2 linked regions of the Neurospora crassa OR74A genome follow. The protein of the gene in region 2 purifies or fractionates together with the protein of the main gene of each other region. This does not show direct contact. Links are inferred from orthologs where the notes say so. Each region holds a gene or a part of one and is shown on either strand. Other genes may lie near its edges. The genes, in order: NCU05782 and NCU06943.

Region 1 (4,324 bases), about 3.0 Mb from region 2:
TTTGCGGGCACGGGGTACTTGACGCTCAAGGTGTGGGGGATGGGCGCGAGGGGCCTGGTGGTGGCGAATGCGGTGAATATGGCGTGTCGGATTGTGTGGTGTTGGGGGTTTGTTGGGCGGTGGTTTGCTGAAAGAAGTGGGACTGGGGATGGGAAGGTGGGAGAGAAAGGGGGGAAGAAGGACGGGGAAGAGGATGAGAAAGAAAAAGAAAAAGAAAAAGTCAGGTTCGGCGTGTTGGACGTCTTGCCTAAGCCGGGAGCGGTGGCGGCTGCGGTTGTGGCTAGGAGTGTTGTTGGACGGGTTGTGGGAGCCAGTCAAGAGGAGGTGGTGATGGGTGCCAAAGAGGCGGTTTGGGAGTTGTTCAAGATTGCAGGGGTGGCGGTGCCTTTTGTTGTTGCTGTGTGAGTATTCCCTTTTCTTTTCCGTTTCCTTTTAGTTTCGTGAAAGTTCACATCCGTTAGTTCGATTCGATCATTTGTCATTCATCTATTTTGGATATATATAGAAAGCTAACACGACGACAAACGACAGGGCCATCGCCGAAAGAGACTTCTTGTTGAGCGGGTATCGCGCCCTTCAGGGTAAGAGACAACAACAACAACAAAAGTCCTGAGAAAACACTAGATCATGAGATAGACCGGACAGAGATCGAAAAAAAAAGACGCCCAATGAAATTTTTGTCCCGAAAGAATAACTGAAATGGCTCCAATGTTTACACAACATGTGGCATGGTGGTGGTATCTACATCATCTTCATCCTCTCTCCTTTAATCGAACGTGATCTTGGTCGCCTTCTTGTTCGGGTCAATGTCCTTGTAGAAAGAGCCATAAGCGTCGTGGGCCTTCTTCTTAACGGTGGTGCCGAACTTGAGGAGCTCCTCGGGCACGGGCTGCTTTGCGGCTCTGAGAATGTTGACGAGGCTGGAAAAGAAAACTTGTGGTTAGCATGGGGAAATATTAGAGGCAGAAAGAAAGAATAGAAACTCACGATCCGGAGTGGGCCTTGTCGTGCTCGGTAAAGAGAGTAATGGCCTTGCCCAGCTTACCGGCACGGCCAGTACGACCGATACGGTGGACGTAGTCCTCGATGGTCAAGGGGAACTGGGAATCTGTTAGCACTTGGCCATTGACGATAAGTAAGATGTGTGCGGTTGAACTCACAGTAACGTTGATGACGAGCTTGACCTCGGGGATATCCAGACCACGGGCAGCAACATCAGTAGCGACCAAGACGGTGGTAGTACCAGACTTGAACGCCTCCAAACTGCGCGTGCGCTGATCCTGCCTCAAGTCACCGTGAATGCTAGCCACCTTGATGCCCTTGCGAGAAAGGAACTGCTCAACGCGAACGGCCTCCTTCTTGTACAGGCAGAAAACCAATATCCTGTCGTCCTTCTGGCTGCCCTTCTGAGCCTCCTTAAGGAGCTCGTACAACCTGAACTCCTTGCCGCGGGGGTCGACAACCTCAACCTTCTGCTCGATACGGCTGTTGGCCTGCAGCTCGATGTTTCCGTTACCCTCACCATCGCCACCGGCACGTGTCCTGTGGCCGATGGTGACCTGGGCGGGGTTGATCATGTAGCTCTCGGCGAGCTTCTGGATGTCCAGGGGCCAAGTGGCCGTGAACATGAGCGTCTGGCGCTGCTCCTTGGGCGGGCAGCCGCTCAGGATGAGCTTGATGTCCTCGGAGAAACCGCGGTCGAGCATGCGGTCGGCCTCGTCGAGCACGGCGAAGCTGACGTTGGCCAGCGAGATGGAGCCCTCGGACAAGAAATCCTTGAGACGGCCGGGGGTGGCGGTGATGATGTCGACACCGTTGTTCTTGTAGAGGAGGTTGCGCTGCTCGTTCTTGTCGGAGCCACCAAAGATGCACACGGCCGACAGACCGACCAGGGAGGCGAGGCCGGAAAGGGCGGCGTGGGTCTGCATGGCGAGTTCGCGGGTGGGCGAGACGATGACGGCGCGGGGGTGGGCGGTGCGGTCGCGGCTGTTGAACTTGGGCTTGGGGCGCGAGGCCAGCGACTCGACGCAGGGCAGGGAGAAGGCCATGGTCTTGCCGGAACCGGTCTCGGCGATACCAATGACATCGCGGCCGGAGAGCGAGAAGGGCCAGGAAGCGGACTGGATGGGGGTCGGGTTCGTGTAGGCTGCGAAGGGGTTCTTGGAGATGAGGTTGGACTGAGGGAGCTGGGAGAAGTTCATGATGGGGCGGAGGTTGCTGGAGGAAGGATCCTTGATGACAATCTCCTTCTCCTTAAGGAAGGTCTCGATCTCGGACTCGGGGAGAGCGCTGAGGGCATCGGCCTGCTTGTAGGTGTAGGCGCCGTTGGTAGAGGCGGCGGGAGTGGTGGTGCCGTTGGTGGTGGCCTTGGAAGCGCTGGTTGACTCCTCGGTCGTGGACTCGTCAGACTTCTTGGCCTTCTTCTCCTTCTTATCCTTTTTCTCCTTCTTGTCCTTCTTTTCCTTCTTTTCCTTCTTGTCGGCTACGGGCTCGGCGGCGGCATCGGGCATGGAGACATCCTCGGTGGACTCGGTGGCTGGTGATTCGTCCTGGTCCTTCTTTTCCTTCTTGGACTTCTTATCCTTCTTCTCCTTCTTGTCTTTCTTTTCCTTCTTGTCCTTCTTCCTCTCCTTCTTCACCTCGCCGTCGACGGGGGTCTCGTCGGTCTTGACCTTCTTGGCGAGACGGGCATCCTTCTCCTCGCCCTCGCTCCGGGAGTGCTTCTTGGTGGAAGACATGGTGGTAGAATTGAGATCGCACTCGCACAGAAAGCGATTGGCGAAAGGTGATGGATGGGCGACTGTCGGAAACACAACACTCGCTAAAGAGAGAAGGGTTCAAGGGAAGGGAAGGGTCGCGAAGGAGGCCAAAAGGGTGCCGCTCTGTTATCGCCAGACCTGCGCCGGCTGGGAAAATTTCCTTATCGATAAGCCCTGTCACTGACCCCGGCCCTGTCTGATCCCCGCGGGTCCACTTTTTCCATCGGGGTCCCTTGTGAGAGATTCAGGAACAGCAGGACATGATGCAAGAAGCATTGTTTCTTTCTCCTGGTTTTCCAAGAATATGAGATACCGCCATGCTTGCTTATGTGCATTGAGTTTGGGAATTCTAATCGGTCTGGGTTCCTCTGGGCGTTGCGTGCTGGTAGTGTATTGAAGATTCAAAGTGGGTCTTGGTAATTTCATGGTTTGATGTCAGCCCCGAGTCGTAATTACCTCGCGATACAGGGGGTTAGGGTTGAAAGAGAGTATGCTTGAGCTCCAAGATACCTCTACGTTAAGCACCAAGGCACTCATTTCGAGATGCCCTCCGCACTGCTCGAACCCTTTCCCTATAGATCAGGTCCAGATCCAGGTATCAGTGTTTTTACCGCTCATCCCAAGCCCATCCCATCCCATTGCGAAACAGAAATGCAAACCCTCTCGTCCTTGCTGCTGTTGCCCAGCTCTAGAAAACAAGACTAGTTTGGTGTCGAAAAACGAGTTTCAGGACCAGCGGACCTCACTAAGAATATATAGGTAATTACTTTTATAATGAGTAATGGTAGAGATAATGTGGAATAGACTAACGCTGATCTTACCATTATGATAGCTTGATCGTATGTACCTAGAGTATGATGACGTGGTGTACAACATCTCAAGACATTCAAGAACCCTCGATAGACACCAGAGGGGGTTGTAAAAAATGAAGTGAACAGCAGTAAATTAATCCCTGATATCGTACCCGGCTTCCCTCCAACGCCTTTCCGCAAAAACTCCCATGCCAGCAAAATGCCAATCCATATGTAAAAGCCATATGTGCAAATACCTACCCATCCATCCATATCCCACCCCAAGTTCAAAACGCCAAAATACACATTATTCGTTACGGTCCCTACTCAGCTAGTCAAACTCGTTTTAATCCGCCAGGCGATAACTAACCAACGTGTCGACCCGATGGTTTGTCGTGCTAAACCCCCTTAGCTGTACGCGCTCGCCGTTGACAATCTCCTTGGCGTCGCTGTCGCCCCACTCGACTGGCACGTCGCTGTCGGCGTCGGCGTAGACCAGCACGTTGAAGGTGCAGTCGCCACTGAGCTGGGGCAGGAAGGTGACGGAGGCGGTGATCTGGCGGAAGATGGCGGCGATCTCGGCTTGGATCTCGGCTTCGGTCTTGTCGAGTGGAGGTGTGGGAGTTGAGGCGGCGGTGGAGGCGGCTGCGTTTTCGTTAGGAGATTGATTTTGGTTGTCGTCGGTGGTAGCGGAAGCGGGTTGGGATTTGGTCTTGGATTGGGCGGCTTTGGAGAATATTTGGACCTATAGACCACGGATTAGCTTGGAGTCGG
Region 2 (4,609 bases):
GCAAGCCCCTTTTTCTATCTTGGCAGCACATTGCATGCGGCAAGGCACATGTTTACTACGAAGACTTGATGATGACGATATTATTCTAGCGAGAAAATCAGGGGAAGATGGAGTGTCGATGGGCGTTTTGCAATCATGCGATATTGGAAGAGTACATAGATTCATGACACTTCACATCAACCAGGTACTTTTAGACGTACGTTCCGTTTCGTTTAATGAGCCTTTGTTTTTACCCATATCGCCGCCATATGATGCTCCATGGGTATGATGCTAGTACACACGCACATCCTTTTCAACTTTTTTGCGCTACCCCTCTATGATCAGTCGTAGATGGCAAGAGATGTGAATGACGACAACGACGAACTATTTATGATTCTTGCAAGAAACAAGTAGACCCGTAAAACTCCTTTGTACCAGATTTGACCCATACCCCATACATTATAAGAAACTCCCGAGGATAACAACGACAACAGAGCGAACCAACAAGAACGACGTGCCAAAAAACGCGACGAGAAGCTCTAAACAAGATGACGAAGAAAAAAAGTAAAAATCGTGAAAAAGACACAAGTGGTGACGCTGCTTTTTGGCTCTTTTTCTTTCGGTCTTTTTACTCAGACTTCGACTTCTTCTTCTTCTTCTTCTTCTCGGGTTCCGCAGCGTCGGGGGCGTCTACCATCTCGACGTCTTCGCTAGTCGCTTTCCTCTTCTTGTCCTTCTTGTCCTTCTTCTCCTTCTTCTCCTCCTTGTCCTTCTTCTTGTCCTTCTTCTCCTTCTTGTCCTTCTTGGAGTCGGCGGCGTGGGTGGCGGTGTGCGAGTCGACCATCTCGGTGTCAATGTCCATGTCACCCTCGTCGTCCATGACGAGCTTGATGGCCTTGTCCATGGCCTCGGTGTTCTTCATGGGCTTGATGCCCTTGGCGTACCACTCCAGACGCTGCTCAAGCTGCTCACGCATAACCTCACCAAAGCGCTTAGTGGGGTTCTCAGAGAAGTTGTCGATACGGGAGGCAATGGAGCACTTGTTGGCGAGGTAGCGGGAGATGCGACCCTTGACCTTGGGACCGGCGCGGCCAATGAAGGTGCTCTGGTAGAGGAGACCGTACTTGGGGGTGGCGCCCTTGGTCTTGAGAGCGCGGAAGAGGGCCTTCTCGGCACCGAGGATCTGGAGGGTAGAAGCGGGGTACTTGGCGAGGTTGGTGAGGGAGCCGGCGTGCGAGATGAGGCGGGCGGCAACGGGGGTGCCGAGGATGACCTGCAGGTTAGGAGCGACCTCGCCCATCTTCTTGTCGAGCGACTCGGCGAGGATGCGGCGGTAGTCGGCCATCTTGGAGACGTTGTCCGCGAGGTCCTTGACCATGTTGAGATCCATATCGCTGATGTCCTGACCCATGGAGACCTTGGCGGCCTGGATGATGGCCTTGGCCTTGTCCTCGTCCTGGTTAAGGACGTTGGCGAGCTCGTCGAGGGACTCGTCGCTGAGAGACTTCTTGTTGCCGACAGCGAGAACGACCTTGGCGTAGGTGCCGTTGTCGGAGACGATGCGAATAAGCTCAGGGAAGTGCCAGCCGTACCACTCCCTCACGCGCATGGCGCCGGAGTTGATACCCTTGTCGAGGGCATCGAGGGTCGCGATACCCTGGATGATGTGGTTGTCGTTCTTGTGGACGGAGAACTTGACCTTGGCGCGGGAGTAGGCGTGACCGAGACCGAGCTGGGCGCGGTTGATGTCACCGTCCTGGAGGCCCTTGAGGAGCTTGCCGGCGTGGGTGCGGATGCCGCGAAGGAGGGCAGCGACGACCTCGGAGGTATCGGCAGCCTCGCACTGAATACCGGGGAAGTTTCCGCTAATTTCACCAGCGAGCCTCTTGTCGACGACACCGAGGACGATCTTGCTCTTCTTTCCGCTGGTCTGGGGGAGGTTGAGTTCGAGGGTGTTCTTGAGGTGGTCGGGCATGATACCCTCGGAGATGAGGTTGATGGCCTCGAGACCGTGGGCGGCAGAGCTGGAGGTTAAGGAACGTTAGTTTATGGTTCAGCCAAGACAAGCAATTCACACAATGTTTCTGTCCCTCCCAACATCATCACCACCACCACCACCACCACCACATGACCATGAAATCACCACAACCACCTCAACCCGAAACACCAACTCCAAAACCACACAATGCTTTTGCTTCTGGCCACCTACTTCCAAGGGTTGAAGCTGCGGAGCTTCACCATCTTGCCGAACTTGTCGAGATCCTTCATGGCATCCTTGACCTCGGGCAGCTCCAAGCCGACAGTGTCGGCCTGGTGGACGACCTCGAAGAGCGAGAAGCCGACCGCGCTTTCGAACAGAAGATAGTTGACGTTGGCCATCTTAGCGGTGATGTTGTCGTATGATGACTCTGGATTGATGGGTGACTGGGTAACCGGGTGCGCTGGGATTGGAGTGTTGTGCGCAATTGGGCGTCGTTCAATGCCACCGGTGCATGAACTCAGTCTTCGGTCTCCGGGAATCAGAACGGCGCTGTGTTTGGATATTTTTTTGCTCTGCCACTTTTGCCCTGGACAAGTTTTTTCGAAATTTTTGCGGCAAGCTCAGGACGAAGCACGGGCCACAGCCATGCGGGGTGGGGATTCTGCCTACCCCAATTCACGCCGCATTGGCCACCCCATTGGCCCGTTGGAGCGCTGTAAGCTGGGAAGGCTTAGCAACCAATGGCAGCAGCAATTGTGCGAAACTCCTTTGGATTTTCGTGTCGATAAGAATTCGGATAAGAAGAGTCTTGCCAGCTGAGCGACAGCTGTCCGTGTGCCTGGCCTCTTGTCTGTCTGACAGTCGGGTCCTCGTCGTCGTCCTACCTCCCACACTGACACGGGACATTTTGCTGCCCCATTCACCCACACCCACTCACCACACCTGACTGACTCTTTGCATCGAACTCAACCAGATCGCATATCATTTGGCCAATGGTCGAGTTCCCTCACTCACATCAGCCCTATGGGCTCGATCTGCATGTCTGACCTGCACAATGGGAGAGATTGAGGCTTGGACTGTTTGGCGGTGTCGGTAACAGTCCGTCCTTCATCGATCCTTTTACGGTTTTCCATTTCCATTCGGAAAGCAGCGAGACGGATGATTCATGATGAATCCTTGTTCTTCTTTCCATTGCGGCAATGCCACAATCCCCTTACTTATTCGGTCGTTTTCGTGCCAATATGCAAACACATACTCCTTTGTCGTCGACCGAGACACATGCCATCCCATGTTGTTTGTTGGCGTCATGTCTGCTCACACGAGACACGATATGCAGTCAGATCGAGAAATGTGAAGGCGTTGGTCACGGGTTCTCTCGCTTCTCGCCTCACAAACTGGTGTACTTCAGTTCTCTCTTTCGGGCTCCCCTCTGCCACCTCATGTCAACATGCCCACCTCGGACTTGGGTTGTCACAAGTGTCGACCGCTTCGCATTCCCAAGCAAGACCCGGCGTCCATGAAGGGATTACCAACTGAAGTGACCGGACCGCCCGATGACTCAGGCCAGCATTATCGACTGCCCGGTCTCAGGACATTCAACGCATCGTCTACTACGACGTTGATGTTCTCGTCAGGGCGTGGCAGAAACAACAACAACAACAACAAGACAAGACTTGGGATGCTTTGATTATTCCATTGTGTTCAAAGCATGTCGCTCATCATCGGTTTCACATCCTATAATGGCCGTTGTCTGGATGATCACAGGCGTCGCAATCTGGGAATGCCTTCTCTGGCTTCTGCGGGATTGGTCGTGAAACGGTTCCGTCCAGCCGGACATCCAATCAGCGACACCAACTCCGGGTCTTCGAGGGATGATACAGTATGTACAGTGGCGGAAGAGCCCTACAGCATGCACGACACCCCCAAATTGCCCCAATGCTCCCGTTCTTCAGCGCATCAGAAGCGTACGGGTTTCGATGGCGCACCATTCCGGCCCGTTGCATGGATGTGGTGCCGCTGTGTACCTATCATTTCCATTTTGGGTCTCGCAGCGTCGACGACACCATCACGATACTACACAGTACCTCAGTCGATCCAGTCTCTTCCGACAGTTCAAGTGATGCCAAGTCCATGGTGGTATTTGGCGTGGTGATTTGTTTCCGTCGTTTGTATCATGATGGCTCTTCGGGCGAGCAGCTTGCCTCACGCTCATACGTAGCTCATGTAGCTCGAAGCGCGAGATCCGTGGCTTTCGAATTAGGGGCATCAACATCAACCAAGCAAACGTGTCGTGGAGCTGTGAACGAGAATATGTACCCGACCTATCTGACCAATATATCAAATCGGTACTCGACATGCACAAGGAACAGCGCTGATACTACCCTCCACCATCTCCTAGACGCCATTGGATGCCCCAGTCGAGGCCTGAACAGTGCGCAGCTGCGATGAGCTTCCATCTACACCGACCTTCCAAGCCAAGAGACTGTCAAAGAGGTACTCTGCAGTGTCTGTCTATCCGTCCCCATTGATTCAGCCTTATGCCCTCCGGGTTACGTCGCTATACAGCGGCATCTCCGTACGACATAACCCCATCCTTACGTACCTTGCCAAGCCTAGTCTATTCGCTAACTTACCCTGGACTTGGAACAA

Evidence for each region.
Region 1: the proteins of NCU06943 (region 2) and NCU05782 purify together in Saccharomyces cerevisiae (affinity purification with mass spectrometry; 3 studies listed by BioGRID). This does not show direct contact. The link is inferred for Neurospora crassa OR74A from reciprocal best matches to the Saccharomyces cerevisiae genes NOP56 and DBP3.

Annotation. Positions count from the first base shown.
Region 1 is NC_026507.1:3,805,407-3,809,730, reverse strand, and holds NCU05782 (ATP-dependent RNA helicase dbp-3), read right to left. Parts: upstream 2,885-4,324; 5' UTR 2,739-2,884; coding exon 1,161-2,738; intron 1,101-1,160; coding exon 988-1,100; intron 921-987; coding exon 767-920; 3' UTR 614-766; coding exon of another isoform or gene 532-613; 3' UTR 461-531; downstream 1-460. Other genes in the region: NCU05783 (oligosaccharide translocation protein RFT1), read left to right, coding at 1-401, 532-613; NCU05781 (mitotic spindle checkpoint component MAD2), read right to left, coding at 3,897-4,295. UniProt on the Saccharomyces cerevisiae protein: ATP-dependent RNA helicase required for 60S ribosomal subunit synthesis. Involved in efficient pre-rRNA processing, predominantly at site A3, which is necessary for the normal formation of 25S and 5.8S rRNAs.
Region 2 is NC_026507.1:848,384-852,992, forward strand, and holds NCU06943 (SIK1), read right to left. Parts: upstream 2,934-4,609; 5' UTR 2,359-2,933; coding exon 2,189-2,358; intron 2,004-2,188; coding exon 608-2,003; 3' UTR 196-607; downstream 1-195. UniProt on the Saccharomyces cerevisiae protein: Required for 60S ribosomal subunit synthesis.